2 linked regions of the Anolis sagrei genome follow. The protein of the gene in region 1 interacts with the protein of each later gene in a pairwise test. Links are inferred from orthologs where the notes say so. Each region holds a gene or a part of one and is shown on either strand. Other genes may lie near its edges.

The links.
Region 2: the proteins of CDC42EP2 (region 1) and ARHGAP26 interact in binary tests that used the Homo sapiens proteins (3 or more experiments, as listed by UniProt). The two-hybrid records come from large-scale screens. The link is inferred for Anolis sagrei from reciprocal best matches to the Homo sapiens genes CDC42EP2 and ARHGAP26.

The regions. Positions count from the first base shown.
Region 1 is NC_090032.1:10,714,327-10,731,682, reverse strand, and holds the start of CDC42EP2 (cdc42 effector protein 2), read left to right. Parts: upstream 1-9,118; 5' UTR 9,119-9,198; intron 9,199-17,356. UniProt on the Homo sapiens protein: Probably involved in the organization of the actin cytoskeleton. May act downstream of CDC42 to induce actin filament assembly leading to cell shape changes. Induces pseudopodia formation in fibroblasts in a CDC42-dependent manner.
Region 2 is NC_090022.1:95,715,634-95,732,727, forward strand, and holds the start of ARHGAP26 (rho GTPase-activating protein 26), read left to right. Parts: upstream 1-10,874; 5' UTR 10,875-11,392; coding exon 11,393-11,546; intron 11,547-17,094. UniProt on the Homo sapiens protein: GTPase-activating protein for RHOA and CDC42. Facilitates mitochondrial quality control by promoting Parkin-mediated recruitment of autophagosomes to damaged mitochondria.

The sequences.
Region 1 (17,356 bases):
CTCTGTTTAAAAGCTTCCAAAGAAGGAGCCTCCACCACAATCTGGGGCAGAGAGTTCCACTGCTGAACAGCTCTCACAGTCAGGAAGTTCTTCCTCATGTTCAGGTGGAATTTACTTTCTTGTAGTTTGAAGCCATTGTTCTGCGTCCTAGTCTTGGAGTCCTCGTGGACAACAAGTTAAACATGAGCCAACAATGTGATGTGGCTGCAAAAATAGCCAACATTATTTTGGCATGCATCAATAGGAGCATAGTGTCTAGATTTAGGGAAGTCATGCTACCCCTCTATTCTGCTTTGGTTAGACCACACCTGGAATATTGTGTCCAATTCTGGGCACCACAATTCAAGAGAGATATTGACAAGCTGGAATGTGTCCAGAGGAAGGCGACTCAAATGATCAAGGGTCTGGAGAACAAGCCCTATGAGGAGCGGCTTAAGGAGCTGGACATGTTTAGCCTGAAGAAGAGAAGGCTGAGAGGAGATATGATAGCCATGTATAAATATGTGAGAGGAAGAGGAGGGAGCAAGCTTGTTTTCTGCTTCCTTGGAGACTAGGACGCGGAACAATGGCTTCAAACTTCAAACTGAGGAGCAGCTTAAGGAGCTGGACATGTTTAGCCTGGAGAAGGCTGAGAGGAGATATGATAGCCATATATAAATATGTGAGAGGAAGCCACAGGGAGGAGGAAGGAAGCTTGTTTTCTGCTTCCTTGGAGACTAGGACGCGGAAGAATGGCTTCAAACTACAAGAGAGGAGATTCCATCTGAACACGAGGAAGAACTTCCTGACTGTGAGAGCCATTCAGCAGTGGAACTTTCTGCCCCGGAGTGTGATGGAGGCTCCTTCTTTGGAAGCTTTTAAACAGAGGCTGGATGGCCATCTGTCAGGGGTGATTTGAGTGCAATATTCCTGCTTCTTGGCAGGGGGTTGGACTGGATGGCCCAGGAGGTCTCTTCCAACTCTTTGATTCTATGATTCAGGTGATGGTCATCTCGAGGCTTGACTACTGTAACACCCTCTACATTGGTCTTCCTTTGTCAGTGATCTGGAAACTGAAGCTGGTGCAAAATGCGGCAGCTTGTCTTCTCATCGGGATGCCGGCGAGGTGTCGCATCACCCCAATTCTCCAACAGCTGCACTGGCTACCGATTGAGTACCGGATCACTTTCAAGGTGCTGGTACTAACCTTTAAGGCCTTACATGGTCTGGGGCCAGCGTAACTTGACCAACCCCCTAGCAACCCCAGAGATTACTCCGGTCTGAAGACCAAAATTTGCTTGAAGTTCCTAACATCTGGACTTATCATTTGTCATCTACTAGGCAAAGAGCTTTCTCGATCGTAGCCCCTTATTTATGGAATGCCTTGCCAGTTGAAACCCGAACTATCCGAGACCAACTTGCTTTTTGGAAAGCCTGTAAAACCTTTCTTTTCCGGCAAGCTTTTGACGGGTGAACAACCCGGACTATGCCTGTTCTCGCCGCCTATTGTTTTGTTATTGATATTTTAAGGCTGGTTGTGTTGTTTTGGTCTGCTTCTGTGAGCCTAGGACGTGGAGCAATGGCTTCAAACTACAAGAGAGGAGATTCCATCTGAACATGAGGAAGAACTTCCTGACTGTGAGAGCTGTTTAGCAGTGGAACTCTCTGCCCCGGAGTGTGGTGGAGGCTCCTTCTTTGGAAGCTTTTAAACAAAGGCTGGATGGCCATCTGTCAGGGGTGATTTGAATGCAATATTCCTGCTTCTTGGCAGGGGGTTGGACTGGATGGCCCATGAGGTCTCTTCCAACTCTTTGATTCTATGATTCTATGTGGACTGCTCTGGGCCGAGTTGGGAGTGGCGGTATGCAAGTTAAATGGATGGATGGATGGATGGATGGATGGATAGATAGATAGATAGATAGATAGATAGATAGATAGATTGATGTTGTATGTTTCTTGTTTTATTATGTACAGTTGGCTTGGGCAATCCATGGTTCTAAATGGTTCTAAAGTACTTACAAAAGGGCAATCCATGGTTACAAAATGGTTCTAAAGTTCTGGTGGTGAAAATTTCAGAACTCTAACAAAACTCTCAAAATTTCATAATAAATGGCAGTTCCTAATTGGTTCTGTCATTAAAATCACCAGTAATGAAATAATAATTAAATTTTGAAAGTTTTGTTAGAGTTCTCAAATTTTCACCACCAGAACTTTAGTTTTGTAAGTACTTTAGAACCATTTAGAACCATGGATTGCCCAAGCCTAATGTACAGAGTTCCTCCGAGCATGCACAGAGTTCTGTTTCCCCCAGCGGGTGAACCCCAAGTCGGTGACACAACCTGACATGTGATTTGCATGTCACTCTGTGCCTCTTTCCAGCCAGATCTTTCCCTTCATCGAAATGGTTGCTTATATAAACCAAGTGTGTTTTACAAACTTGGCAAGAAATTAATGCAAAACAGCTTTTGCTGGAAAGAGAATGATGACTTCCAGGGAAAGGAATTCAGGGGCTGTCGGGTTTCAGGAAAAAGGAGCGAGGAGGAGTTGAAGGCAAGGAGAATTAGAATCAGCTTTGGACCCAGGTTCGAATTCTTGCTCAGATGTGGAAACCCACTTGGTAACCTTGGGCAAGTTGTATGGCGGCTTGTTCACGTTGTTGCGATGTCTCCAAAGGGGGTTTCTATCGGGTTCAACTTGAGGCTGAGAGAGTGTGACTACACCAAGTGTCGTCGAGGGCATCCCGAATCGGTGCTCCTCCAAACCGCGGATACCGAAACCCCGAAAGGCCCCCGTATCCGCGATATGGCAGATTGTCTCCATTTTGATGGCATATTTTTCCTTGCTTTGGTGGGGTCCCAGGGTCTCTCCTCTTGGGCAGATTCTCCTAAAGTTCCTATCGACTTCACAAGTACTTCACCCACTATGCCATGCTGGCTCACTCCGTGGGATGCTTCACTGGGGGAAAAACAATCCATACAATTAGTCAATAATTATTTGTGACTCACGACCTCCAGACGCCAAAAAGCAGCTTGCCAATGTTGTGCTCCTCTTGAGGGTTTTCCACAGAGAGATTGCTTCACTTCCTCTGCAAATCCATTGCTGTTTTACCTCCCAGGATGTGTTTGTCCTATTCCTCCCTTCTTGTTGTTGTTTTTCAGGCTTCCTATTGCTGTGTTCCTTCCCGACTGAGCTGGTTAGATAGGTGGCAAATCCAGGTTTTGAACCATTTCCAAAAGAAGATCAGCTCTTTTATTTTGTGGCTTTATTTCCAGTTCCTTCCTTCTTTTCCCTTCTTCCTTTCCTTCCTTTGGCTTGCTTGCTTTCCTTCCTTTTGCCTCCCTCCCTCATTCCTTCATTTTCCTTCTTCCTTTTGCCTGCCTCCCTCCTTCCTTTCTTCTTTTTCTTCTTTTTTTATTCCTTCTTTTTCCTTCCTTGCCTTCCTTTTGCTTCCTTTGCTTCCTTTCCCCCTCCTTTTGCTTCCTTCCTTCCTTCCTTTTCCTTCTTACTTGCCTTCCTTTTGCTTCCTTTCCTTCCTTTTCCCCTCCTTTTGCTTCCTTCCTTTCTTCCTTTCCTTCCTCGCCTTCCTTTTGCTTCCTTTTCTTCCTTTTTCCCTCCTTTTGCTTCCTTCCTTTCTTCTTTTTCCTTCTTCCTTGCCTTCCTTTTCCTTCTTTTCTTCCTTCTTTTTCCTTCCTTTTGCTTTCTTCCTTTCTTCTTTTTCCTTCTTCCTTGCCTTCCTTTTGCTTCCTTTCCTTCCTTCTTTTTCCTTCCTTTCCTTCCTTCTTTTTCCTGCTTCCTTTCCTTCCTTTTCACTCCCTTCTTCCTTCCTTCCTTCCTTCCTTCCTTCCTTCCTTCCTTCCTTCCTAGCGTCATTTCCTTCCCTTTGCTTCCCTTTTGCTTCCTTCCCTTCCTTTTTTCTTTCTTCCTTTCCTTCTTTTTGCTTCATTTCCTTCCTTTTTCCCTTTCTTCCCTTCCTCTTACTTCGTTCTTTTTCATTCTTTCCTTCCTTCCCTTTGCTTCCTTATTTTCTTTTTCCTTCTTTCTCTTCCCTCCCTCCTTTATTCCTTCTTTTTTCCTTCCTCCTTCCTTTTACTTCCTTCCTTTCTTTTTCCTGCATCCTTACCTTTTCCCTTCCTCCCTCTTTCCTTCCTAGCTTCATTTCCTTCCCCTTGCCTCCCTTCCTTTTGCTTCCTTTCTTCCTTTTTTCCTTCTTCCTTTCCTTCTTTTTGCTTCCTTCCTTCCTTTCTTCTTTTTCCTTCCTCTTCCCTCCCCCCTCCTTCCTTTCTTTTCCCTTCCTTCTTCCTTTCCTTACTTTTGCTGAGAAGGAAATAAATAGAGAAGGAGGGAGAGAACGGAAAAAAGGAGGGGAAAGAAAGAAGGAAAGAAAAAAGAGGAGAGAAGGAGGGAGAGAAAGAAGGAGGGAAGGAAAGAAGGAAGCAAAGAAAGAAGGGTAGAGAAGGAAGGAAGGACAGGAAGAGGGAGAGAAGAAAGAGAGGAGGGAAGGAGAAAAGGTAGGAAAGAAAGGTAGAGAAGGGAGAGAAGAGAAAGGAGGGAAGGAGAGAAGAAAGGAAAGAAAGAAGGATAGAGAAGAAGTAGAGAGGGAGGGAGAGAAAGAAGGAGGGAAGGGGAGAAGGAAGGAAAGAAGCATAGAGAAGGAAGTAAGTAGAGAAGGAAGGAGAGAAAGAAGGAAGGAAAGAAAGAAGGATAGAGAAGGAAGTAGAGAAGGAGGGAGAGAAAGAGGGAAAGAAGGAGGGAAGGAAAGGTAGAGAAGGAAGGAAGGAGAGAAGGAAATAAAAAAGTGAAAGAGGGAAGGAAGGAGAGAAGGAATGAAAGAAAGAGGGAAGGAAGGAAGGAAAGAGACAAGGAAGGATGGAACCAAAGAGCAAAGGAAGCAAGAAAAGAAACAGGTAGAGAAGGAAGAAAGAAGAAGGGAAAGAAAAAGGGAAGGAAGGAAAGAGGGAGGGAAGGAAGGAAGGAAGAAGAGAAAGAAAGAAGGAGAGAAAGAATGAGGGCAGGTTGGCCACAGCAAAGCGTGGTGGGTACAGCTAGTCTATATAAATAAAAACGTAATGTTTGTTGTAGTTCACCTGTATCCAGAGAGCACTGTGGACTCAAACAATGATGGATCTGGACCAAACCTGGCACAGATACTCACTATGCCCAAATGTGAACACTAGTGGAGTTTGGGGAAAATAGAGTCTTGACATTTGGGAGTTGTAGTTGCTGGGATTTATAGTTCACCTACAATCACAGAGCATTCTGAACCCCACCAACGATAGAATTGGGCCAAACCTCCCACACAGGGCCCCCATGTGGGCCACAGCAACGCATGGCAGGGGACAGCTAGTAAATAAATAATAATAATTTCCTCAACAGAAAACACTTTTTGCCCCAAGCATTTTGGATCAGAGACAGGCCACCTTCACTGGGTTGTTGTAGGTTTTTTCGGGCTATATGGCCATGGTCTAGAGGCATTCTCTCCTGACGTTTTGCCTGCATCGATGTCAAGCATCCTCAGAGGTAGTGAGATCTGTTGAAACTAGGACAAAGGGTTTATATATCTGTAGAATGACCAGGGTGGGACAAAGAACTCTTGTCTGCTGGAGCTAGGCGTGAATGTTTCAACTGACCACCTTTTTTGTTTCTCCAGGCAAATGTCTTGTCCTTGCTTTCTCCTCCTTCGCCCTTCCCTAGACAAAGATCTTTGCTTTCCAAACCCCCTCTTTGCTTCTCAAAACAGATCCCATAGATAAAACCTGACCGAAGCCTCCAAAGAAACCCTCTGGGGTTTTCTTTTTCTTCAACCGGAGTGCCTGGCGGATGATGTCGCTCTTCCCCTAAATCAGAGGAATTCCACCTTGACACATTATTAAAATTATAGGCTTGGCTGGCTGTGCTGTCAGAGGAAAATGCAGGCCAAATATGGATTTTGATTTCCTCTCCGCTTGGATCAACACAAAGGAAAGCAGGGAAAGAGGTGGGTTACATCAGATGGGCTTGCATCAGAACGAAAACATGGCTCTTAATCATGGAATCCTAGAGCTGGAAAGAAAAACCCAAAGGCCATCCAGGGCAACCCCTTTCCGTCTTTGGAATATTAGCTATCCCTCCCAATACATACATATATACACACACACATATGAATATAAATAAATAAAAATGTAATGTTCGTTTGTGGGATTAACAGAACTCAAAAACCACTAGACGAATTGACATCAAATTTGGACACAAGATACCTAACAACCCAATTTATGTCCTTCACTAAAAAAAAAAATTGATTTTGTCATTTGGGAGTTGTAGTTGCTGGGATTTATAGTTCACCTACAATCAAAGAGCATTCTGAACCCCACCAACGATGGAATTGAACCAAACTTGGCACACGGTTCTCCCATGACCAACAGAAAATACTGCAAGGGTTTGGTGCACAATGTCCTTTGGTTTTGGAGTTGTAGTTCACCTACATCCAGCGATCACTGTGGACTCAAACAATGATGGATCTGGACCAAACTACATGAATACTCAATATGCCCAAATGTAGACACTGGTGGAGTTTGGGGAAAATAGACCTTGACATTTGGGAGTTGTAATTGCTGGGATTTATAGTTCACTTTCTGAACTATCACAGAGCTTTCTGAACCCCACCAACGATGGAATTGGGCCAAACCTCCCACACAGAACCCCCATGTGGGCCACAGCAACGCGTGGCAGGGGACGGCTAGTCTATATAAATAAAAATGTAATGTTCGTTTGTGGGATTAACATAACTCAGAAACCACTGGTCGAATGGACACAAAATTTTGACACAATACACATAACAGTCCAACGAGTGTCCACCACCCCCAAAAACACCCTCCCCCAGTGGAACAGACTTTAAAACCCAAAAAATACACCATATATACATATATACATACATTCATATACATATGCACATACACAGAGGCAGCCCTAGGTAATTTTCAACGGTAAGCAAACAGTATTTTGGCGCCCCCCCCCCCCCCCCCCAACCAATCACTGATCTATATTTTCTGTTCGTCGTAGGAGTTCTCTGTGCCATATTTGGTTCAATTCCATCACTGGTGGAGTTCAGAATGCTCTTTGATTGTAGGTGAACTATACATCCCAGTAACTACAACTCGCATATGTCAAGGTCTATTTTCCCCCAAGAGTGCCTCAAGAGCGCCCCTGGGCAACATCAACTATACTGCGAGTGCTTACTTTGCGTAATGGGTGAGCTGCCCCTGCACATACACACATTCATACACATGTATATATATGCACAAGCACACACAAATATACATATGTACACACACATACATATACATGCACACACACATAGATACATATACACAGGCACACACATATATACACAAATAAACACATGCACACATACATATACACATATACACATACATACATTCATACACACACATATATATATGCGCAAGCAAACACAAATATACACATACATAAATACATATACACATGCTCACATATATATGCATATACATACATGTATACATTCATACACATATATATATGCACAAGCACACACAAATATACACACATATATATACATATACACATGCTCACATATATATATATACATATACATACATGTATACATTCATACACATATATATATGCACAAGCACACACAAATATACACACACATATATACATATACACATGCTCACATATATATACATATACATAAATACATTCATACACACACGTATATATATGCACAAGCACACACAAATATACACACATACATACATATATGGTCAATAAAAGTATAATATATTAAATATAAACACACAATATATATATATAGTAATGAATGTTTTATACATACACATTTTCACTTTTATTACGTGTATATATTAAATATAAACACTCAATATATATTATATTATTATACAGATATATAGTAACTAATGTTCTATATCATGTATAATAAATGTAAACGCATTATATATTATATTATGCAGATATATAGTAATGTTATATATCTTATAAGCATAATATAATAAATATGAATATATAATAATATGTAATATGAAAATATAATAATGAATATATAATTATATAAAATAATATATAGTAAAAATTATGCATATATAGTCAATAAAAGTATAATATATTAAATATAAAAACTCAAAATATATTATATTATATTATAATAAATCTCAAAATATATTATATTATTATACAGATATTATATTATTATACAGATATATATTATATTATTATGCATATAGTAATGTTATATATCTTATAAGCATAACATAATAAATATGAATATATAATAATATATAATATGAAAATATAATAATGAATATATAATTATATAAAATAATATATAGTAATGAATTATGCATATATAGTCAATAAAAGTATAATATATTAATATATATATAAATATGAATATATAATAATATATAATATGAAAATATAATAATGAATATAAAATAATATATAGTAACAAATTATGCATATATAGTCAATAAAAGTATAATTTATTAAATATAAAAACTCAAAATATATTATATTATATTATAATAAATCTCAAAATATATTATTATACAGATATATATTATATTATTATGCAGATATATAGTAATGTTATATATCTTATAAGCATAATATAATAAATATGAATATATAATAATATATAATAGGAAAATTAATATAATATTATATTATTATAATAATATAAAACACACAATATACATATTATATTATTATATTATTACATATTATATTATTAGAATAATATAAACACACAATATACATATTATATTATTACATATTATATTATAATAATATAAACACACAATATACATATTATATTATTATACAGATATATATAGTAATACACATTTTCACTATTATTATGTCTATAGATTATTATTATTATTATTATTGTCAATATCCTTTATGGATCCCCAAAGATGGGTCCAAAGACAAGAGGATTCAATAGGAGTGAATCAGGGAGGTCAAGCCACAAAGCCCTTCCCTATGATGAAGCAATGTTGCAACATGCAAAACAAAAGGGGCGGGGATAGAACGCTGCCTAGCCAGCCGCGGCTTGGGATTGGTCCAGGGCTGGAGTGGGCGTGGCTTGGCGGTGGGTGGCAATCCTGGGCAGGCGGAGGGCGCGCCTTTTCTCTCTTTGGCGGCCGAAGGAAGAGGAGGAGGCGACGCCCAGGCCAGATCTGGGTGAGTATTCCCCTTGGCAAGGGCGGAGGAGGCCTTCAGGAACCCCATAGGCAGGGATGCAAAGCCTTTGTGGAGCTCCATGGGCGTGGCAAGTGTCAAGGTTTGGGGGTTTCTTAGCGTTGTGAGCCTGATATCTGCCACATGGCACTCTGGACATGCTCAGAAGCCTGGTTTGATGTTTTTAGGTCACTAAATAATAACAGTCTTTGGAAAAAGCACTTTGGACATGCTCAGGAGCCTGCTTTGCTGATTTTGGGTCTCTAAATAGGTACAATGGTTGGGAAGGAACACTTTGGACATGCTCAGAAGCCTGGTTTGCTGATTTTAGGTCACTAAATAACAATAGTCTTTGGAAAAAGCACTTTGGACATGCTCAGGAGCCTGGTTTGCTGATTTTGGGTCACTAAATAGGTACAATGGTTGGGAAGGAACACTTTGGACATGCTCAGAAGCCAGGTTTGCTGATTTTTAGGTCACTAAATAACAACAGTTTGCACTTTGGACATGCTCAGAAGCTGCTTTTTGGTCACTAAATAAGTACAGTGGTTAGGAAAGAACACTTTGGACATGCTCAGAAGCCAGGTTTGCTCATTTTAGGTCACTAAATAGCAAAAATCTTTGGAAAAGGGCACTCTGGACATGCTCAGAAGCCTGGTTTGCTGATTTTACGTCACTAAATAGCAAAAGTCTTTGGAAAAGGGCACTCTGGACATGCTCAGAAGCCTGGTTTGCTGCTTTTAGGTCACTAAATAGCAACAGTCTTTGGAAAAGGGCACTTTGGACATGCTCAGGAGCCTGCTTTGCTGATTTTAGGTCACTAAATAGGTACAATGGTTGGGAAAGAGCACTTTGGACATGCTCAGAAGCCTGCTTTGCTGATTTTGGGTCATTAAATAGGTACAATGGTTGGGAAAGAACACTTTGAACATGCTCAGAAGCCAGGTTTGCTGATTTTAGGTCACTAAATAACAACAGTTGGCACTTTGGACAAGCTCAGAAGCCTGGTTTGCTGCTTTTAGGTCACTAAATAACAATAGTCTTTGGACAAAGCACTCTGGACATGCTCAGGAGCCTGCTTTGCTGATTTTGGGTCACTAAATAGGTACAATGCTTGGTAAAGAACACTTTAGATATGCTCAGAAGCCAGGTTTGCTGATTTTAGGTCACTAAATAACAACAGTTGGCAGTCTGGACATGCTCAGAAGCCTGGTTTGCTGCTTTTAGGTCACTAAATAGCAAACATATTTGGAAAAGGGCACGCTGGACATGCTCAGAACCTGGTTTGTTGCATTTTGGTCACTCAATAGCAACTGTTTTTGAAAAAGAGCACTCTGGACATGCTCAGAAGCCTGGTTTGCTGCTTTTAGGCCACTAAATAGCAAAAGTCTTTGGAAAAGAGCACTCTGGACATGCTCAGAAGCCTGGTTTGCTGCTTTTAGGCCACTAAATAGCAAAAGTCTTTGGAAAAGGGCACTCTGGACATGCTCAGAAGCCTGGTTTGCTGCTTTTAGGCCACTAAATAGCAAAAGTCTTTGGAAAAGAGCACTCTGGACATGCTCAGAAGCATGTTTGGTGATTTTAGATCACTAAATAGCAAAAATCTTTGGAAAAGGGCAGTTTGGATATGGTCAGAAGCCTGGTTTGGTGATTTTTGGTCACTAAATAGGTATAATGGGTGGGAAAGAACACTTTGGACATGCTCAGGAGCCTGCTTCCCTGCTTTTTGGTCACTAAATAGCGACAGTCTTTGGAAAAGGGCGCATTGGACATGCTCAGAAGCCTGGTTTGCTGATTTTCGGTCACTAAATAGCGACAGTCTTTGGAAAAGTCACTTTGGACATACTCAGAAGCCTGCTTTGCTGATTTTAGGTCACTATATAGTGACAGTCGTTGGAAATGGGCACTTTAGACATGCTCAGAAACCTGGTTTCCTCCTTTGGGTCACTCAATACCAACAGTCTATGGAAAGGGGCACTTTGGACATGCTCAGAATCCTGGTGTGCTGCTTTTGGGTCACTAAATAAGTATAATGGTTGGGAAATAACACTTTGGACATGCTCAGAAGCCTGCTTTGCTGATTTTTGGTCACTCAATAGCAACAGTCTTTGGAAAAGGGCACTTTGGACATGCTCAGGAGCCCGATTTGCTGATTTTAGGACACTAAATAGTGACAATTTTTGGAAAAGGGCACTTTGGACATGCTCAGAAGCCTGGTTTCCTCCTTTGGGTCACTAAATAGCAACAGTCTGTGGAAAGGGGCACTCTGGACATGCTCAGAAGCCGGGTTTGCTGCTTTTGGGTCACTAAATAAGTATAATAGTTGGGAAATAACACTTTGGACATGCTCAGAAGCCTGGTTTGCTGCTTTTTGGTCACTAAATAGCAACAGTATTTGGAAAAAGTACTTTGGACATGCTCAAAAGCCCGCTTTGCTGATTTTAGGTCATTAAATAGCTACAATGGTTGGGAAAGAACACTTTGGACATGCTCAGAAGCCTGGTTTGCTGCTTTTTGGTCACTATATAGCGACAGCTGTTGGAAATGGGCACTTTGGATATGCTCAGACGCCTACTTCGTTGCTGTTATGTCACTAAATAGGTACAATGGTTGGGAAAGAGCACTTTGCACATGCTCAGAAGCCTGGTTTGTTGAGTTAATATCGCTAAACATTTCCAGTATTGGAAAAGAGTACTTTGTTCATGCTCAGAAGTCCATTTTGCCTCTATTATATCATTAATACATGTAATGGTTGGAAAAGATACTTTGTTATATGCTCAGAAGACACTTTTATATTGCTAAATAGTTACAAAGGTTGGAAAATTACGTTTTGTATATGTTCAGGAGCTGTTCAGTAGTGGAATATAATAATAATAAGTCCGGCAGAGTCTCCTTCCCTGGAGGTTTTGAAGCAGAGGCTGGATGGCCATCTGCCAGGAGGGCTTTAATTGTGTCTTCTTGCCTGGCAGAATAGGGTTGGACTAGATGGCCGCCTGGGGCCTATGAGACCTTTCCAGCTCTGTGATTAAGAATTGCACAATCGATCCTTAGATCCAAGATAACTAAGCTGAGTCTCCTGTACTTTGGACGTATCTTAAGATAATGCAACTCATTGGCAGAAAAATACACAACAACGTTAACAACAACAATAATAGGAAGAGGAAAACCTTAAATAAAGTATTATTATTATTATTAATTATTATTGTTGTTGTTATCCAATCAAGGAAACGACAACTGCCTTTAGTTTGCAAGAGACACAATCAAAGCTCTCTCGACAGATGGCCACTCAGCCTCTACTTAAAAACCTCCAGAGAAGCAGACTCCATCATCGTCGTCATTATTATTATTATTATTATTATTATTATTATTATTATAGAATCATAGAGTTGGAATGGACCCTCCAAAGGCCATCCAGTCCAACCCCATTCTGCCAGGCTGGAAGACACAATCAAAGCCCTCCCGACAGATGGCCATGCAGCCTCTGCTTAAAAACCTCCAGAGAAGCAGACTACATCATCGTCATTATTATTATTATTATTATTATTATTATTATTATTATAGAATCATAGAGGTGGAAGGGATTCCTCAAAGGCCATCCAGTCCAACCCTATTCTGCCAGGCTGGAAGACACAATCAAAGCCCTCCCGACAGATGGCCACTCAGCCTCTGCTTAAAAACCTCCAGAGAAGCGGACTCCATCATCATTATTATCATCAATTATTATTATTATTATAGAATCATAGAGGTGGAAGGGATCCTCCAAAGGCCATCCAGTCCAACCCTATTCTGCCGGGCAGGAACACACAATCAAAGCTCTCCCAACAGATGGCCACTCAGCCTCTGCTTAAAAACCACGAGAGAAGCGGACTCCATCATCATCATTATCTATTATTATTATTATTATTATTATTATTATAGAATCATACAGTTGGAAGGGATCCTCCAAAGGCCATCCAGTCCAACCCCATTCTGCCAGGCTGGAAGACACAATCAAATCCCTCCCGACAGATGGCCACTCAGCCTCTGCTTGAAAACCTCCAGAGAAGCGGACTCCATCATCATCATTATTATAAAAAAATATTATTATTATTATTATTATAGAATCGTAGTGTTGGAAGTGATTCCCCAAAGGCCATCCAGTCTAACCCCATTCTGCCAGGCTGGAAGACACAATCAAAGCCCTCCTGACAGATGACCACTCAGGCTCTGCTTAAAAACCTCCAGAGAAGCAGACTCCACCGTCATTATTATTATTATCAAATATTATTATTATTATTATTATTATTATTATTATAGAATCATAGAGGTGGAAGGGATTCCTCAAAGGCTATCCCAATCCAACCCCATTCTGCCAGGCAGGAACACACAATCAAAGCCCTCCCGACAGATGGCCACTCAGTCTCTGCTTAAAAACCACCAGAGATGCGGACTCCATCATCATTATCTATTATCAATTATTATTATTATTATTATTATTATTATTATTATTATTATTATTATAGAATCATAGAGGTGGAAGGGATTCCTTAAAGGCCATCCAGTCCAACCCCATTCTGCCTGTCTGGAAGACACAATCAAATCCCTCCCGACAGATGGCCACTCAGTTTCTGCTTAAAAACCTCCAGAGAAGCAGACTCCACCGTCATTATTATTATTATCAATTATTATTATTATTATTATTATAGAATCATAGAGTTGGAAGGGATCCCTCCAAAGGCCATCCAGTCCAACCCCATTCTGCCAGGCAGGAACACACAATCAAAGCCCTCCTGACAGATGACCACTCAGGCTCTGCTTAAAAACCTCCAGAGAAGCAGACTCCACCGTCATTATTATTATTATCAATTATTATTATTATTATTATTATTATTATTATAGAATCATAGAGTTGGAAGGGATCCTCCAAAGGCCATCCAGTCCAACCCCATTCTGCCAGGCTGGAAGACACAATCAAAGCCCTCCCAACAGATGGCCACTCTGCTTAAAAACCACCAGAGAAGCGGACTCCATAATCATCATCATTATCAATTATTATTATTATTATTATTATTATTATTATTATTATAGAATCATAGAGGTGGAAGGGTTTCCTCAAAGGCTATCCAATCCAACCCCATTCTTCCAGGCTGGAAGACACAATCAAATCCCTCCCAACAGATGACCACTCAGCCTCTGCTTAAAAACCTCCAGAGAAGCAGACTCCACCATTGTCATTATTATTATCAAAGATTATTATTATAGAATCGTAGTATTGGAAGTGATTCCTCAAAGGCCATCCAGTCTAACCCCATTCTGCCAGGCCAGAAGACACAATCAAAGCCCTCCCGACAGATGGCCACCCAGCCTCTGCTTTAAAATCTCCAGAGGAGATTCCATCATAATTAGAGATGATGATGATGATTATAGAATCATAGAAATAGAAGAGAACTTCAAAGGTGATCCAGTCCAACCTCTTTCCAGGCAGGAAGACACAATCAAAGCCCTCCTGGTAGATGGCCATCCAGCCTCTGTGTAAAAACCTTCAGAGAAGCAAACTCCATTATTATTATTATTATTATTATTATTATTATTATGCACATAATATTATTATGCACATAATAATAATAAATGTGAAAATAACTAACTTGGCACACAGAACTCCCATGACCAGCAAAACATACTGGAGGTCTTTGGATGGATTTATAGGAGTTGTAGTTCACCTACACCCAGAGTGCACTATGAACCTAATGATGGATCTGGACCAAACTTGGCATACATACCCGATATGCCCAAATTTGAATACTGGTGGGTTTAGAGGGGAATTGGCCTGGACATTTTGGAGTCGGAGTTACTGGGATTTATAGTTCACCTGCAATCAATGAGCCCTCTGACCTCCACCAAAATGGAATTGGACCAAACTTCGCACACAGAGTCCCCATGACCAGCAAAAAATACTAGAGGTCTTTGGCAAAAATTCACCTTGATTTGGGGGAGTTGTAGTTCACCTACATCCAAAGAGCACTGTGAATCCACACAATGATGGATCTGGACCAAACTTGGCACATGTACCTGATATGCCGACATTTGATTACTGGAGGGGTTTGTGGAGAACTGACCCTCCTTTCTGGGAGTTTTAGTTCACCCACAACCAGAGAAACTGAAACCCCCATTAATGAGGGACCTGGACGAAACTTGGCACACAGAACCTAGGTGAATTACTCAACCTACTGGAGGGGTTTGAGGGGATTGACTCACCATAGTGGGTCAATCATAACAAACAGTCATAGTAATCATAATAATGGTTTTCTTTCCAGCAATGTTTACTATTTCCTATGAGTATTTCGTAATATAGGTCTATAATCAATTGTTGTCATTCTTGGTAGGGATAAAGCAGCACTTCTCAATATGGGGGTCGGGACCCCTGCGTGGGTTGTGAGGTGGTGTCAGAGGGGCCACCAAAGACCATCAGAAAACACAGTATTTTCTGTCGGTTTGGAGGTTCTGCGTGAGAAGTTTAGCCCAATTCCATCATTGGTGGGTTTCAGAATGCTCTTTGATTTCAGGTGAACTATAAATCCCAGCAACTACAACTCCCAAATGTCAAGGTCTATTTTCCCCAAACTCCACCAGTGTTCACATTTGAGCATATTGAGTATCCGTGCCGAGTTTGGTCCAGATCCATCGTTGTTTGTGTCCACAGTGCTCTCTGGAGGTAGGTGAACTACAACTCCAAAATTCAAGGTCAGTGCCCACCAAACTCTTCCAGTATTTTCTTTCAGTCATGGGAGTTCTGTGTGGAAAGAATGGTCCAATTCCATTGATGCTGGAGTTTGGAATGCTCTTCGATTGTAGGTGAACTATAAATCCCAGCCACTCCCAAACGTCAATGTCTATTTTCCTCAATATGCCCCCATTTGGGCATATTGAATATTCGTACCAAGTTTGGTCCACATCCATCGTTGTTTGTGTCCACAGTGCTCTCTGGATGTAGGTGAACTACAACTCCAAAATTCAAGGTCAGTGCCCACCAAACTCTTCCAGTATTTTCTGTTGGTCATGGGAGTTGCCAAGTTTGGTTCAATTCCATTGTTGCTGGAGTTCAGAATGCTCTTCGATTGTAGGTGAATTTTAAATCCCAGCAACTACAACTCCCAAATGTCAAGGTCCATTTTCCTCAATATGCCCCCATTTGGGCATATTGAATATCCAGATCAGTTATTGTGTCCACAGTGCTTTCTGGATGTAGGTGAACTACAACTCCAAAATTCAAGGTCAGTGCCCACCAAACTCTTCCAGTATTTTCTGTTGGTCATGGGAGTTGCCAAGTTTGGTCCAATTCCATCGTTGCTGGAGTTCAGAATGCTCTTTGATTGTAGGTGAACTATAAATCCCAGCAACTACAACTCCCAAATGCCAAAGTCTATTTTCCTCAATATGCCCCCATTTGGGCATATTGAATATTCGTACCAAGTTTGGTCCACATCCATCGTTGTTTGTGTCCACAGTGCTCTCTGGAGGTAGGTGAATTACAACTCCAAAATTCAAGGTCAATGCCCACCAAACTCTTCCAGTATTTTCTTTTGCTCATGGGAGTTCTGTGTGAAAAGTATGGTCCAATTCCATCATTGCTGGAGTTCAGAATGCTCTTTGATTGTAGGCAAACTATAAATCCCAGCAACTACAACTCCCAAATGTCAAGGTCTATTTTCCTCAATATGCCCCCATTTGGGCATATTGAATATCCAGATCCATTATTGTGTCCACAGTGCTTTCTGGATGTAGGTGAACTACAACTCCAAAATTCAAGGTCAGTGCCCACTAAGCTCTTCCAGTATTTTCTGTTTGTCATGAAAGTTTCCAAGTTTGGTCCAATTCCATCGTTGCTGGAGTTCAGAATGCTCTTCGATTGTAGGTGAACTATAAATCCCAGCAACTATAACTCCCAAATGACAAAATCATAATCTTTTGAGTGATGGTCACTTCTTGTGTTGTGAGACGTTTCGTTGCCAAATTTGGTGTGATTTTGTTCATTGGTTCTTTTGTTTGTAAGGAACTCATTATGCACAGAGCATTTTTATATAGATAGATTATTTATATTATATTATATTATGTTATGTTATATTACAAGTAGCAGCCAGCAATGAAAGAACCAAGGCACTGACACCTCCAGCCCATCCTCTAT
Region 2 (17,094 bases), on another chromosome or scaffold:
GCTTGATCTTGGGAGTTGCAGTCCAACAGCATTGGAAAAAAGGGGGTTTTACCAAAAATTATACTGCCAATCGTAAATTGCAGTTACAGAAATCCCTCTTGACCTGTTGCTGTTTGTTTAACTTCCAGAGGAAGGTAAGTACAGATTGAGTATTCCTTACTTGGAATTCTGAAATCCTCCAAAATTGTCGACATGGATGGCTGACATAGTGACACTTCTGCTTTTGGGTGGTTCCATGTATACAAACTTTGTTTCATGCACAAAATCATTAAATAATTTGTATTAAAATTATTTAAACATTGCTTCACTCCATCACCAGATATGATATCTGAAATCGTAAGTCATCTGTCTTAGCCCATGGTATCAGGCATGTAGCCGGGGGGGGGGGGGGACTTGGGAGGCTTCAGCCCCCCCCCCCCCGAAATTCTCATGGTGGTCCGCAAGAAGGCCTTACTGGTACGTTATTTAAACTGTTATGTTTATTCATATCATGATCTGATCACCATGCTCAATATATCCCATATGCATGGGGGTATTGGGGTAATGATACAAAAGGTTTGCTAGGCTAGACCCTCTTTCACTCAGACTCAGCCCCCCCCCCCCCCCCCGAATCAAACTCAGCTCCCCCCGAAACAAAATCCTGGCTACGGGCCTGCATGGTATTAATGTGCCAGGCACTGCAGGGTGATGTGGCTATACAACAAAGGAGTGATGACAGGGCCCTGCAAAATCCTTGCTTTTGTTCCTTGAAGCATAGCTTGCTGGCGAGAAGGGGCTGGCCACTTCACCCTGTGGTGCCTTGTTCCCCAAGCTGCAGAACTCTACAGCTCAGGGTAGCTGCCTGGCTTTTCAGATGGGTTTCAGGGATATTTATGATCATGGTAATGGTACTATGACCGTAAATATGAGTAGGAACAGCTATGCAGCCACAAGCCTAACTTGCAATGCCATAACTGGCTGTTAAATTATGATTTTTAAATTATGTACTGGGTGTTTACATAACAACAACAACCCCCATGTTTGATACAGGCATGTTGGTTATGGACCTATATTGTAAAAATGCTTTCAAATGCCACGGTCAAATCCACATGTTACTTTGATGGATATTTAAATTATCTTAACATATAATGTGTAGAACTGTAGCCCTAAATACAGTGTTTCCTGTGTTCTATGGAATAGACCCATTCAGTCAGCGTTGTCTTACTAAGTCTTCATTGATGCAATGGATCTGCTATCTTGGGACTAACAATTACATGTAGGCTGGAATATGATGCCCTCTTCAAATCCCTAATTCAAATCTGTAATGAATGCTGGCAGCCTTCTAAGAGCACTTGATTAAAAATATTTTTTACACATTGTTATATTATGTTTCTACTATTTGCATTGACCAGCTATTCCTGCAGGAATCATTCTTTTTTTCAGATCCATGTTCTCTTTTCTTCTTTCTTTGAGTTGTGCCTGAGTCGGCCGGAAGGGGTCTCTAGAGAGTTTAATTTGCTTTATAACTACATTTGTTTCTGTAGCTATCCCAATTGTGATACTGCTGAAACGTTACAATACAAGATCAGGCAACCAACGAAGCCTCACTTGAGATACAGCCAAGTAACAGTTTGCATTGTCCCAGTGCTCAGTATTTCAAATGTACAACATTTATCTATAAATTCATAAAGAAAAAAGTCTCACTCACAATGCAGACCTCTCCCAGCATGCCTCTGTATCACAGTGAGGAGGAAGGAGCAGTAGAGCAAAACTGTTAGAAAGATTGGTGTGGAATTTTAAGAAGCGTTGTCTGTGGCAATGGGCAGGAAGCAACTGTAGCGTGGTGTAGTGGTTTGAGCAGTGGGCAATGGCCCTGGAGATCTGAGTTTGAATCCCTGCTAACCCATGAATTCTATTTGGTAATCCTGGACAAGTCACACACTCTCAGCCTCAGAGGGTAGGAAAGCTATTCTATACAAATCTTGACAAGAAACCCCTATGATAGTTTCGCCTCAGGTTCACCATAGATCAGAAACAACCGTGAGACATAAAACAAAAACAATTTAAAAGCCCTTTAGGAAACATGGTGAATAGAACAATTCCCATCCCTGCTGTTAGATGTGTCTTCTTTAGCTTCTAGCCAGTTGCTAAAAGCCTGCCTGAATTTATCCACCAGTGGAAGGACAGTAGGTAACAAGCTAACCTAGTCCTGCTTTGGAGTTGTACAACCTGGGACATGCCACTTTGGTGGCTATCTTTTGTATCCTCACGAAATGTGCTAGTCCATGAGAGATAGCTGCCATGAAGACTGGGCAAGATTAGTGAGATAAATACAGCCTCTCAACAGGCTGGATCCAAGCCATGTAGGACCTAATAGTACTTAACCATGTTATGGATTGTAAGATGTTTTGGGATCTTGGCAGATCTTTCTCTCTATCCCGTCACCCTCATAGGAATATCAAGTGGAAACATAGGACAAAACTTTCTTGGTGGCTGCTCCCAAGCTCTGGAACTCTCTTCCTAGCAATGCTATACTGGCACAGTCCTGGTCAGGTAAAGACATTTTCATTTCAGCAGGCCTATGATCATTGACCACTCAGGTGGGCAAGTCCCTTTCATGTTTGTTGCTGTTAACTGCCATCAAGTTGACTTTAAGATTTATGGCAAACCCATAAAGGAGAGGCCTCTGAGTCACCAGCCATCAACAGCCCCGTTCCAGTGCTGAATGTTATCACACCAGGGTTTTAAAGAGGGCAGCTCTGCATTTCTGTCACCTACAGAATTCTGAGGAATGTAGTTTGGGAAGGTGAAGACCTCTGTAGCTGAGGCTCTGCCCTAAACTACATTTCCCAGAATTCTGCAGGTGGGGGAAATGTGGGGCCACCGGTTTTAAAGCCCTGGTGTGATAACATCATCACCGTGGCTTCCTTGAGTGAATCTATCCATCTGGAAGGCTATCTTCCCCCTTTCCATCTACTGTAAAAAGCATTGATTTCTTTTCTAGTGAGACATGCCTTCTCATGATATAGCTAAAATATATCTACATATGTAGTTGACATTTTGTTACATTTGTAGTCATCTTTTTAACAGCTTGCTTTCACTACATTTAATTTTCATATCATATCATATCATATTTAATTTCTTATTAATCGCCCTCCATCCGAGACTGCTCTAGGTGATTTACAGCTAAATTGTAAAAGATAAAATACATACATACAGAAATTAAAAATTAACAGAGATCGAATGCTGTAGTATTGGTATTTTGTTGATAGTATAATCATAGTTTTAACACGAGCTGTTTCTGTTTAAACTTTGTAAGCTGACTTAAATCTTAGAAAAGGAAAAGATGGGATAATATAATATATAATAACCAGAACTTTTAATTGGCTGGAAAAATGTAAGATATAGCCAGAAAAGCTGTTGCTGTAAGAAACTGGTATGTTCTATGTAATATTCCTTGTTCAATCACTTGGCTGCAGTATTTTCAGGTCACTGAACATTTGGAACCTTTTCCGAAGGTTTCCTCCACTGAGCATATCACAGCAACCCAAATGGCACACAACTAAGGCACGTTTCCATGGCCAGATCAGACTTCTCTAGCAGTACTTTCAGCTGGCACACTAGCTGTGGAAACATATTTGTGACCACTGTTGAAACCATAGCATCCAGGCTAAAGGCTCAATCCAGCAGTGCACACAAGCCCAAAAGCAGAGTTTTCAGGGGAGTATAGTCTCTATTCCTACTCTGTGATATGATTTTTCATTTACCAGGGGCTCTTTTAAGGAGTAAACAATCCCATCCAGTCCACTGGTTCACAACTAGAATTGCTTATTTGAATTTGGGTGGAAAAGCAAAATAGAGTTGGATGTCTTCTCTATACATAGTGGCATTCTAAGAATATGTAGATGGTAAGTATTTTACTTGCCAATTGGCTGGCATAAAAGCCCTACTTGAATATATTCTTGAGAATGCATTCAATTAAATTGCTAGAGTGATTATTTTTTCTTGCATGCTGCCCTGAGATTCTGTGATAGAATATAAAGTCAGGTGACAACAATGCACGGCCCAGCTCTCTGCATAAATCAAAAACGCAATTTATAAATTGTCCTCTGTAATGTTCACAGGCTCCATGATTGATTAATTGATGCGTACACAGTAGTGTCAAAAGAAGAAAGTTTAAAATCCCACTATTTATTAAATATCTCTAAGAATATTTTCTGCTTGGAAGCTGGAAGCAGAATTCTGATATAGCTACACGTTCACGTTTCTTTTATTTAATCATTACAGATGGAGATCACTTGGTCTTTTGGTTTATCAGCAAGTGAAAATCTTCATATTCTGCTAAAGATTTAAAAATTGATTGCAAGGATTTTTAATAGTGTACTATTTTACTGATTTTAAACTGTCTTTAATTAAACTTACTTCTACAAAATAATTATTTTAAAATTATTTTAAATATATATTTCAAATGGTTTGGTATGTTTTCAGTCTGAATTGGTTTTAATAATCTGTAAGCCAGCCACTTTGAGTCCAAGGATCATTAGAAAAAAATAAGCTGTAATGCTATTATTAATAATAATAGGCTGCAGGCCATGTTTTCATTTATTTTCCCTTTCTTCTTTCTGCTGGAAACAGTTAAGGTCTTTCATCACATTAATAAATGTCAAGATATCAAAGCATGAGTTTGAAGCCAGTGCTATAAAATAAATGCTGTGCTAATTGGTTTAGTCACTAAACCAATGAAGGCAGCCTTTAGTGGTTCACAAAACCTTTGAGGGATATCTGTTTCCTCAGCAGCTATTCCCAGGTTTCAGTCTTCGATAACTGACATAAAAGATTGAAGGGATTTTCCCTATGTGAATTAAGACTTAATATTGAAGGTAAGGTCTTCACAATATAAAAAATACGTCTTGAAAATAGTGCTGCATCCTTCTTTCAGTAGCTGACCTCTTATCTGCTCCTTTGGACCATACAATGAATTCATGGCTAATTAATCTTTTAAAATACATCACATACACTCAGAAAGGAGTAAATTATGATTTACAGAGAAAGACAGGTTTCATTGTGTCTTTTGCTAAAGGAAAACAATGCTTATTGAGGGAGAGTCAGCTAGGCAGAGGATGTGGAAATCTTTTTCTGATCACATAAACTTTCTTCTCCTGGCTAAGTTGCCACAGTGCTGCCATCTCAGAGAATTCTGAAGGCAAGTAAACAAAAACTTGGAATATTGTGGGCCATCAAGTATGAAAACCCCAAGGTATTTACTTGACAAAATTTGTTCAGGAGAGAGTTGCCTTTGCCTTCCATGAAGCGGAGAGTGTGTGACTTGCCCCAGGTCACCCAGTGGGTTCCACAGCTGAGCAGGGATTCGAACCATTCTCCTAGAGCTCTAGTCCACCACACTGGCTCCTAAGATTGGAAGATGTTTCACGTGCTTATGATGTGGACTTGCACATTACTAGTGGGGAAATGATAATGCTGTGGACCACCCTGAGTCCCCTTCGAGGTTGAAAATGGTGGTATACAAATACCGCAAATAAATAATAAATAAATAAATAAATAAATAAATGCATTGTGTCTTAATTTGTCATAGTGATCATTGGGGCTATATCACACTAGTTCCCTAGGAATGTGCAATTGCTCTTATAAAGATAGAAAATGGATGAGAACCCACTTCAGGTGTATCTAGACAGTAGAATTAATGCAGCTTTACACCACTTTAACGGTCATGGCTTACTGCCGTGGAATCATGGGAGCCGTAATCTTACAGGGTCTTTAGCCTTCTCTGCTCAAGAATGCTGGTGCCTCACCAAACTATAACTCTCCATTATTCCATAGTTCAATGGCAATTAAAGTGCTGCCAAACGGCTTTCATTATGCAGTGTAGGTGCACTCTTCCACTCAGCAGATCAAATAATGCCTAGCAGAAGCGGTAATTCTGTTCTAATTTCTCTTTAAAGTGTGGTTCATGACACAATTACTTTCTTGGTTTCCATTTCTCTGGAGCCATTCATGCCTTCCTGTTCCTATGTGAACAAGTAGATATTATATAGGCTTTTGGTTCCATGAACCTGTTGTGTACTTGTGCTGGATTCCTTTGGACTTTGTTTCCACTGTTGCAATGTAGAGATATGAGAATTAATGTTCCTTTTGTGAGTCACGGCATCTTTTATTATATTTTCCTTTTCTTGTCTTGATTGTGATTCTGTCTTCCTCACACAAGTCTTACTCCAGACATATGATAGATTTGGGATGTAAGAAAATAAGGTCTTAAATTTGGGACAGTGAGAATTTGCTGGGCCATGGTTAAAGAAAAAGATATGATACTGCTTGTGTGTGCAATATGACTCAATACGACCCTACAATAATGTAGTTGGTTTTAAATGCTTATTTATGTTTTATTTTATAGATGGTTTATGTGTTATTGCTTTTAATATGTTGTAAAGATTTATTATCATCATCATTATTATCATTATTTATGTGTGCAATTACTAGCAAAAGGCCGTCATTTGAGAGATACAATGGAACATAAGTACATTTATTAAAAGACAGTAATGCTAAGTTTGTCCATCTGCTTCAAAGACAGTAACATATTACCTGAAGCAACTAATGCCTTAATTTCATGGCATTTATTTAATCTGGAAGAGCTAATCCTAAACACAGATGGGAGGCTGATCAGAAAAGTAGCAATATGATAAACAAATTCTAGCATTATTATTAGAAGTGCCTTACAATAGTTTCCTGATCACGCTACAATAGTGACATTATTTCAACTACAACAATGACATTATTTCAGCTTCTACAATGTTTCACGTTATAGACTAGAAAGATAATAATTTCTGATGTAAAACGTGACAAAACCAACTCGCTAACCCTCCTTCCCAAGTTTCAATCTACCATAACATAAACCCTAGAAATGGGGATTTTCAGGGTTGCCATCTGGTTGTCCTTGGTCAGTCTAGTCTGTCTCTCTGTCTTGGTTATGAAGATTCATTTTTCTAAATGGACAGCTTTAAATACGCTTACATTTTAATCTGTTAACATGTATGCATTAGTTATGACAAGGTTCTTCCTAAAATCATATCTGCCTACATCTGTGTCAAGCATTCTAACGCTATTATTTATTATTGGGATTGGGAAAATCTTATTGTGCTAGCCAACAATTTTGTTGTGGCTGTTGGTTCATAATCCCTTTGTTGTGGTATTTGCTGGCTTATAGCCCAAGACGACTGGCTATTTTTTTTAACTGATGGGAGGTCATGACCAAAGCATGCCCCTTGATATCCCCATTGATCAACAGTATCTAGCAGAGCACTGTATTGTGTTGCTTTTTATGCAGGATGATGATAACAACTACTAAAGCAATTATCAATATAACTTTCATGGAGGCAATAATAAAAGAAGACATTAATTTTTACAAAAAATGTAAATTACAAAACTAATATGTAAAATGCTATTTAAAAATGCATAGATAGTTTTACACTAGGACACTTATGAGGCCCCTTCCACACTGCTGTATAAAATCCCACATTATCTGCTTTGAATGGGGTTATATGGCAGTGTGGACTCAGATAACCCAGTTCAAAGGCAGTGACATCTCTGGCCCATGCATTGTTCGGATATCAGCTAGCACGCCAATGTCCTAAATCAAGAAACAGTTTTCTAAGATCTACAGAGGTACTTGCAGGAAAGCCTCAGCAAGTGAGAGTCCAAAAGTGGCAGGCTGAAACCCGAAACTCAATCAGTGGCTGATACCAAATGAGAGACTCCCATTACTTAGGGAGCTGCAGTATGTATAACAATATTATGATCTACAGTGGGTCCTTGGTATATCCACTAGGATTTGGTTTTAGGGAAAAAAACCTCCCTCCATACTAAATCCATGGATACCCACTCTTATTATATACAAAGGCATAGTAATGTGTGTGTGTGTGATATATATGGTGAAAGCAAGGCTTGCTTTTGGAGAATATTCCCAGATTCATGGTTGCACAGCGCATGAATATATTAATATTTTAAAAACTAGATGTTTACTTTTCATGTAGCAACTCTGACCTGAATTGTCCCTCTCCAGGTGGCTTTTTGAAAAAGGTGAAAGACTATATAATATCTAGTGTGGGATTCAACATCCAGAGTGGCCCAAGATACATATATGCATAGGGATGCTAAGGCAAAATCCCAAATGCCAAAAAGCAATGAGTGATTTCTAGGCAATTGTCTAGGTGCATTGGAAAAAATAATAAAGATGAAATAATAGGATTTAAGGAACGGAAAGCGAAATATAAGTGACACGTATAAGTTGACTACAATAAAAGTGGCCAAAGTTCACCAGCAATTCTCTCTGGAGAAATCATGAGCACAAAAGCGATAATGTGATGTGGTGCTCTTCAGGAGAAAACTACGCTGACGAAGCTAGAAACCGCCAGAAGCAGAAATGGATTTCTCAAGTTGGTTTCCTGGTAGGATATGCAAGGCACAAGGAGCTATGCCAGAGGGGAAAGGGAAATGTTGTATGCAGAGTGGCCTGTAAAGCCCCTTACACAGCCACTCTGACAGCTAGTATAGCAGGCATGGGCAAACTTGGGTCCTCCAGGTGTTTTGGACTTCAACTCCCACAATTCCTAATAGCCTCAGCCCCCCTTCCTTTTCCCTTTCTTTTTCTGCTTAAGTGTCTGTGGGGGAAAAGGAAAGGGCCTGAGGCTGTTAGAAATTGTGCGAGTTGAAGTCCAAAACACCTGGAAGGCCCAAGTTGGCCCATGCCTGCAGTATAGTATTATATAGCAGTTTGAGTGTTGTGCTAAGACTCTGGAGACCAGGGTTTTTAATCTCCACTTTTGAAATCCACTGTGTGACCTTGGGCAAGTCGCACTGTCTCAGCCACAGAAAACCATAGGTGCATTTACACTGTTGGAATGAATGCAGTTTGGCACCACTTTAATTGTCATGGCTCAATGCTATAGATTCCTGCAAATTGGAGTATCAAGGCCTTTAGCCTTCTCTGGCAAAGTGCACATGTCTCACTAAACTATACCTCCCCGGATTCCCTATCACTCAGCCACAGCAGCTAAAAGTGGTACTGAACTACATTCATTTCACAGTGTAGATGAGGCCCGGGCAAACGTGGATCCTCTAGGAGTTTTGGATTTTAACTCCCACAATTCCTAACAGCCTCAGCAGCTGAGGGGGAAAAAGAAGGGACCTGAGGCTGTTAGGAATAGTCAGACTTGAAATCCAAAACATCTGGAGGGCCCAAGTTTGCCAGTGGCTGGTGTAAAAGAGACCCCACATGAAAGATTCACATTAGGGTTGCCATAAGTTGGAAATGACACATCACATTTTGCTAGATGCCAGGATTCCAGTCCACGCAGGGAATTAACCCAAAATTATTTGCTGCCTGAGGGGGGGCTCAGCCCCAGTCAAGCTTACCTGTCCAAACAGATCTCTTCCTATGAACCATTGTCCGAGAAGGCCCTGCTCTTTGCCCTGTCTCCTTCGCAGATGTGATTGGAGGGGATGAGAGACAGGGCCTTCTCAGTGTTTGTGCAATAAATAAAATGGAATTATGTGCAATGACTATTAGAATGGCCCAGGCTATGACTTTGGATAACGTGGTTAACAGGGAAGGCATTGTTTTATATGTTTAAATGTAGTTTATAATTCTATTTGCATGTTTGTTTTGGAAGGCATCAAATAGTTGCCTAAGTGTAAGCCACCTTTCTCCTCTAGGATGGAGAAAGGTGGGGTAAAAATGTTGCAAATAAATAAATAAGGTGCATAGCACACACATTTAGCCAAGGTTGACGCAAGTGCACTGTAGAATGAATGCAGCTTGCGGGGAGGCAAATTTAACTAATTTACGAGGCCATAAAAATTTCCAGCAAGCATGCAAAGAATGAGGAAGTACTTCATCAGTGCCACAAATGGTTGGTGAAGCGACAGCTCCCCTGGTGGCCAGAATACCCTCAAGAAAAGCTGGAATGTTAAATTGCCTCTGTGTCTGTCTATATATGTTGTGTGTCTATAGCATTGAATGTTTGCCATGTATATGGACATTGTAATCTGCCCTGAGTCCCCTGCGGGGTGAGAAGGGCGGAATATAAATACTGTAAATAAATATATCCTGAGAGTTGTAGTTTCACAGACTTTAGCCTTCTCCACCAAAGAGGGCTTGTGCCTCACCAAACTACCGCTCCCATGACTCCATAGCATTGAGACAAGGCATTTAAAGGGCCTCATCACAGTAAGAGAGAAAAAAACACTTAAAATCCAGTTGCTGCCTCCTGCAGAATTCTGGGGTTTGTAGTTTAGGGAGGTGCTTTTAACAGCCGCACTAAACTACAAACCCCAGAATTCTGCAGGAGGCAGAAACCGGATTTAAAGTGGATTTTCTTCTCTAGTGTGATGAAGATAAAGGTGGGGTCAAACCGCAGTATAGATGCACCCAAGAACTATAATCACAATGCGTTTCATGACACCCCAAATTAGCTGCGTCAATAAATGCTAAAGCTAGGGGAGGGGGATGACGTAGTGATCTCATTCTCTCACACCACCCCCCTTTTAAAAAGGGCACTGATTTCTGAGATCCCCCTTCTGTGCTTCCCGTTACTTCCCTGGGGAACCTGTTGCCGCGTGCTGGCGGGCGCGGCAACAGGTTCCCCAGCAGCAGCAGCAGCAGCAGCAGCAATGCCCTTGAGCAACCCTTCCTTCCTTCCTTGGGAGGCGGCGTCTTTAAGAACCGCGGGCGGGGCAGCGGCTCCATGCGGTTTGACATGACGCTGGCCACGCCCCTTCGCCGGGTCTCTCCCTTTTGCTTCAGAGCAGGCGAGGCGCTCATTGGCTGCGGCTGGCGCAAGGGGCGGAGCCACGTTCGGAGGAAGAAAAAAAAAACACAACACTCTCTCCCCCTCCCCTCCCTCCCTCCCTCCTTCCCGCGACGTTCCAATGGTCGGAAAGGGCTCTGTGGCGTTCCAATGGGGAAGCGGAGTGTCCCGCTTTGAGCCCGGATGCCGACGGGCGGAGATGGCTGCGGCGCTGTGAAGGGAAGCCGCTTCTGCACTGCTGCTGCTGCTGCTTCCTCCTCCTCCGCCCTTTGCATCTCCAAGGGAAGGGAAGGGAAGGAAGGGGACTCTTGCACCAGCAAGCCACCGCAATGGGGAGCCGCGCCCCCGGAATGCGAAGCGTGTCTCGGGAGTGAGCTCCGGCCATGAGAGCGCCTTTGCCCTCGCCCGCAAGCCTGGTGCGAATCCTGCGCCTCTTTGGTTCCCCAGCCTTAAAGGAACAGGCTCCTTGAATCAAGGACATTTCTTCTCAGCCTTTGCCAATCCTGAGCATCTTTTGCACTGGGCTGTTTGTTGACTCTCCAGATCGTAACATTGTTCTCAGCCTCGCTTTGGAGGGTCCCGGGGAAGCAGCCATGGGGCTGCCCGCCTTGGAGTTCAGCGACTGCTGCCTGGACAGCCCCCTTTTCCGCGAGAGGCTCAAGTCCCACGAAGCCGAGCTGGACAAGACCAACAAGTTCATCAAGGAGCTCATCAAGGACGGGAAGACCCTCATCGCGGCCCTCAAGAGTGAGTGGAGGAGGAGGAGGGGAGGGGGGCTAGGGTTAGGGGGCGTCCCAATCCGGTAGGGGAAACCTCCAGCCAGGGCTCTGTCCTGACCCAAAAGGCCTGGTGCCAACAGGGTTTCCCATTAGCAATGTCCATAGACAGAGAGGACTCTTGGATGTGGGAATTCCCTTGCATACAATACATTGTGGTCTCGCCAAATGTTATACTACAGGCTGAGTATCCTTTATTAGATATATATATATATATATATATACATATATATATACACACACATATACATACACACACACACACACAATAATAAATATAATAATAATAAATATAATATTGATATTATTATATTAATAAAGTAATAATTATATTAATAATATGTTCATAGAGATATAAATATAGAATCATAGAGTTGAAAGAGATCTCATGGGCCATCCAGTCCAACCCCCTGCCAAGAAGCAGGAAAATCACATTCAAAGCACCCCCGACAGATGGCCATCCGCCCTCTGCTTAAGAGCTTCCAAAGAAGGAGCCTCCACCACACTCCGGGGCAGAGAGTTCCACTGCTGAACAGCTCTCACAGTCAGGAAGTTCTTCCTCATGTTCAGATGGAATCTCCTTTCCTGTAGTTTGAAGCCATTGTTCCATGTCCTAGTCTCCAGGGCTGCAGGAAACAAGCTTGCTCCCTCATCCCTATGACTTCCTCTCGCATATTTATTTATGGTGATCATGTCTCCTCTCAGTCTTCTCTTTGGAAGGCTAAACATGCCCAGCTCTTTAAGCTGCTCTCGTAGGGCTTGTTCTCCAGACCCTTTATCATTTTAATCGTCTTCCTCTGGACACATTCCAGCTTGTCAATATCTCTCTTGAATTGTGGTGCCCAGAATTGGACACAATATTCCAGGTGTGGTCTAACCAAGGCAGAATAGAGGGGTAGCATATTATATAATAATATAACATAATAATTATTATATTAATAATGTAATTATTATATTAATAATAAGAGATATACATAGAGATATAAATATAATATAATAATATAATTGGGAGCCCCCAGTGGCGCAGTGGGTTAAACCGCTGAGTTGCTGAGCTTGTTGACCGAAAGGTCACAGGTTCGAATCTGGGGAGCAGTGTGAACTTCCACTGTCAGCCCCAGCTTCTGCCAACCTAGCAGTTTGAAAACATGCAAATGTGAGTAGATCAATAGGTACTGCTTCAGCGGGAAGATAACAGCACTCCATGCAGTCATGCTGGCTACATGACCTTGGAGGTGTCTATGGACAACGCTTAGCTAAGAAAGGGAGATGAGCACCACCCTCCAGACACAATTGGACTTAATGTCAGGGGAAAACCTTTACCTAATAATATAATTATAATATAAATAATATAATTTGTATTATATTATTAATAATAAGAGATATACATAGAGAGATCTTGGATATTGGAATCTCCTTTTATACCAGGCATGGGCAAACTTGGGCCCTCCAGGTATGTTGGACTTCAACTCCTGCCATTCCTGACAGCTTCAGGCCCTTAAGTGGCTGAGGGGGAAAAGGAAGGGGCCTGTAGATATTAGGAATGGTGGGAGTTGGAGTCCAAAACACCTGGAGGGCCCAAGTTATCCCAGGCCTGTTTTATACAATACAAGACATAGGCGCACTTTGACCCTCCAGGTGTTTCGGACTTCAACTCTCACCATTTCTAACAGCCTACCTGCCTATGCTTATACAAAACATTATGGTCCCTCCAAAGGTTTAGTATTCTTGACTCAAAATGCTTTGTTTTTCACTTTGCGTTTTTCCCTTCCAGATTTAGGAATATCTGTATGTGCATATTATATACACGTAATGAGGTATCTTGCAGGTGGGATCCAAGTCTCAACATGTTGCTCATTTATATTCCATGTACACCTTATACTCATAGAGTAAAGGTCATTTTATACACAGTACTGTAAATAATTTTGTGCCTGAAACAAAGTGGGTTTATACTGGACCATCAGAAAGCTAAGGTGTGCCAATTTCAGCCATCTATCTGGGTAGTTTTGAGTTTGGGGATTCTAGAATAAGGGGTGCTCAACCTGTCCCAGAAGGACTCTTGGAAGCTCATCTCTGAAAGTTGCTGTGAGTTTTCCGGGCTGTAGGGCCATGTTCCAGAAGCATTCTCCCCTGACGTTTTGCCCACATCTATGGCAGGCATCCTCAGAAGTTGAGGGGTCTGTTGGAAGCCAGCCAAGTAAGGTTTATATATCTGTGAAATGTCCAGGGTGGGGGAAAGAACTCTTGTCTGCTAGAGGCAAGTGTGAATGTTGCAAGTGGCCACATTGATTTGCACCAAATGGCCTTGCAGCTTCAAAGCCTGGCTGGTTGCTGCCTGGGGGAATCCTTTGTTGGGAGGTGTTCGCTAGACCTGATTGTTTCTTGTCTGGAATTTCCCTGCTTTTTGCGTGTTGTTCTTTCTTTACTGTCCTGATTTTAGAGTTTTTTTAATACTGGTAGCCAGATTTTGTTCATTTTCATGGTTTCTCCCTTTCTGTTGAATTTTAGGGTTGTGGATTTCAGTGGCTTCTCTGTGTAGTCTGACATGGTGGTTGTTGGAGTGGTCCAGCATTTCTGTGTTCTCAAATAATATGCTGTGCCCAGGTTGGTTCATCAAGTGCTCTTCTGTGGCTGACTTCTCTGGCTTTTCATTCGTGTCTGGGCACTGCTGCATTTGGTGGTCCCTGTGTAGACTTGTCCACAGCTGCATGATATACGGTAGACTCCTTCAGACCCCTCTACCTCTGAAGGGCTTGAAAAGAGATGGGTCAAACACACAGCAGGAGGAGAAAATGGGGCAGGTGAATGCCAGTCGATGAACTCAGCAAGGGAGATTTGTATTCCAAAGTTCACATCCATATGTCTTTTGGCAATGGCGATGCCCAGGTGTTGGGAGTCGATAATGCCACTTAGAATGTCATGCCATTCTTAAATACACACACTCTCTCTCTCACAAAAGCAGGCTGGCTGTGTACCATCAGGTTTTGCACTTTGGGTGTGTCATTTCAAAACACCTTGGCTATTGTTGGCTGTCTGTCTCTTCAGTATTCGTGGCCCAGGAGTCTTTTGTGAAAGTGAAAGACCTCTTTGAAAACAGCCAAAGGTTGAAACCGGAGATGTGCTTCTTGTTACTTTCAGACTGTAGTTGGATTTCAACACTGCGGCCCTTGCTGTTGCCTTTGTTGGCTGGGGCTGATGGGAATTATAGTTCCAACATCTGGAGGCCATCGGGTTGTACACCTGTGGCTTATAGGTGGGGTTGTTCATTTCAAGCAATTCTGTTTATCACTGTCTAATGCTTGAGCAAGGTGCTTCCCTACTTTGTAATTTCCCCCTTGCAGGATGTTGTGGAGGACTGGAGGAAAGAGTATCAGGAAAACACAATTTCATTCATTGCTTGGAAATTCCCTTGAAATCCTTCACTTAAGGACATTTGTTTTCGTACGCCTGGTTTTACCTTAGTGACAAAGGATAGGAACTTGCGCAATAGGAGGGTAATCTTGCGAGTTAGGTTTAGATAGATTAATGCTTGGGAAATCTGAGAAACTGTATCACCTGGTTCCTTTGGTTAGAATGTATATTATGTATTTGCTATAAGTGTGAATTTATTTATTTATTTACCCTATTTATACTTCACCTTTCTCAACCCCATATGGGACTCAAGGCAGCTTACATATACAGGCAATGATTCGATGCCACGTAAACATACATACATAATAAAATAAACATATATATTAAAACAATCATTAAAACATATCAATTCTTAAGACACTTATTAAACAGTATACTATTAAATAGTGTAACTTTAATACCAATGTTTGACGTAACATGGTAATCTGTCATGGTCACCAAGCAGAGTCGTAGCTGAACTCTTAATGACTGCTGCCCTTTCTCTTTGACAGTCTGAAAGAGTTTGAATTCCTGATCGTGAGATGCAAGTTACATGCATGTCTGCTAAAAAGCAGCTCATTGTAAAGCTGACCAATACCATGTGTGTGACAGATAGCCAGCGGTTTTGTTTGCTTCCCTCTGTTTGTGAGCCAAAGGCAAATAATTGTCACTCTCGTGATGTGCTCTTTGAAAGAGTTAATTGTATTAAACAAGCCTTGAGGGTCTTGTCTGCCTCATCAGTGGTGTTTGTGCTCATTTGTCACTGGTGATAATACACAGCAGTCTTGGGAAAGGGGGTGAGTAAAACAAGGAAGGCATGTCTACCTATCATACTTGCTTAGAGGACCAAGTGATAGAAACAGTTACCTTGCAGACAAAGTATTTATCATGTCAGAAGTGAATTGAGAATATAATTATAATGTTTAAAAACCTATAAAAAGGTTAAAAGCTTAGCATTATACTAAATTTCCTTTGACCGGAAGCTGGCCACTTGGAGTGCCTCTGATGTCGCTGTAAGAAGGTCCCCCATTGTGCATGGGGCAGGGCTCAGAGTGCATTGCAGTAGGTGGTCAGTGGTTTGCACTTCTTCACACTTGCATGTTGGGAACTCCACTTGGTAGCCTCATTTCTTAAGATTGGCTCTGCATCTCATGGTGCCATAGAGCAGTCTGTTCAGCGCCTCCCAAGTTGTCCAGTCTTTTGTGTGCTCATGAGGGTGTTTCTCATTTGATCTCAGCCACTGATTGAGGTTTTGGGTTTCAGCCTTCCACTTTTGGACTTTCGCTTGCTGAGGTGTTCCTGCGAGTATTTCTGTAGAGCTTAGGAAGCTATTTCTTTATTTAAGATGTTGGCATGCTGGGTGGTAACTGAACAGAGGATGGGCCGAAGATGTCAATGCCTTGGTCCTTTCATTTCTGGCTGCTACTTCCTGATGGATGTCAGGTGGTGCGATGCCGGCTAAACAATGTAATTTCTCCAGTGGTGTGCGGTGTAGACATCCTGTGATAATGTGGCATGCCTCATTCAGAGCTACATCCACTATTTTAATGTGGTGAGATATGTTCCACACTGGGCATGCATATTCAGCAGCAGAGTAGCAAAGTGCAAGGGCAGATGTCTTCACTATGTCTGGTTGTGATCCTCAGGTTGTGCCAGTCAGCTTTCATATGATGTCATTTCTAGTGCCCACTTTTTGCTTGATAGTCAAGCAGTGCTTCTTGTAAGTCAGAGCATGGTCCAGAGTGACTCCCAGGTATTTTGGTGTGCTGCAATGCCTCTTTGAGATTCCTTCCCAGGTAATCCTCAGAGTTCTTAAGATGAAAAACACATGTCTGTGTTTTAGATGGATCAGGAATCAGCTGGTTTTCTCTGTAATAGGCAGTAAGAGCACCTAAAACTCCGGAGAGCTTCTGTTTGACCATTTCAAAGCTCCCTGTTTGAGTGGTGATGGCACAATCGTCAGCATAGATTAATCATATGTGAAATTGGGAGGGCACATTTTGGCCTATTGAAGCTGTGTTCAACTTTGCAGGAGACCCAACTGTTCTGTAGCCAACAAAAAGTTTCTGGGAAGTTTTATTATTGGGTATGAACTCTATTCCCAAAGGAGATTAGCTGCTTAGTATAGTTTA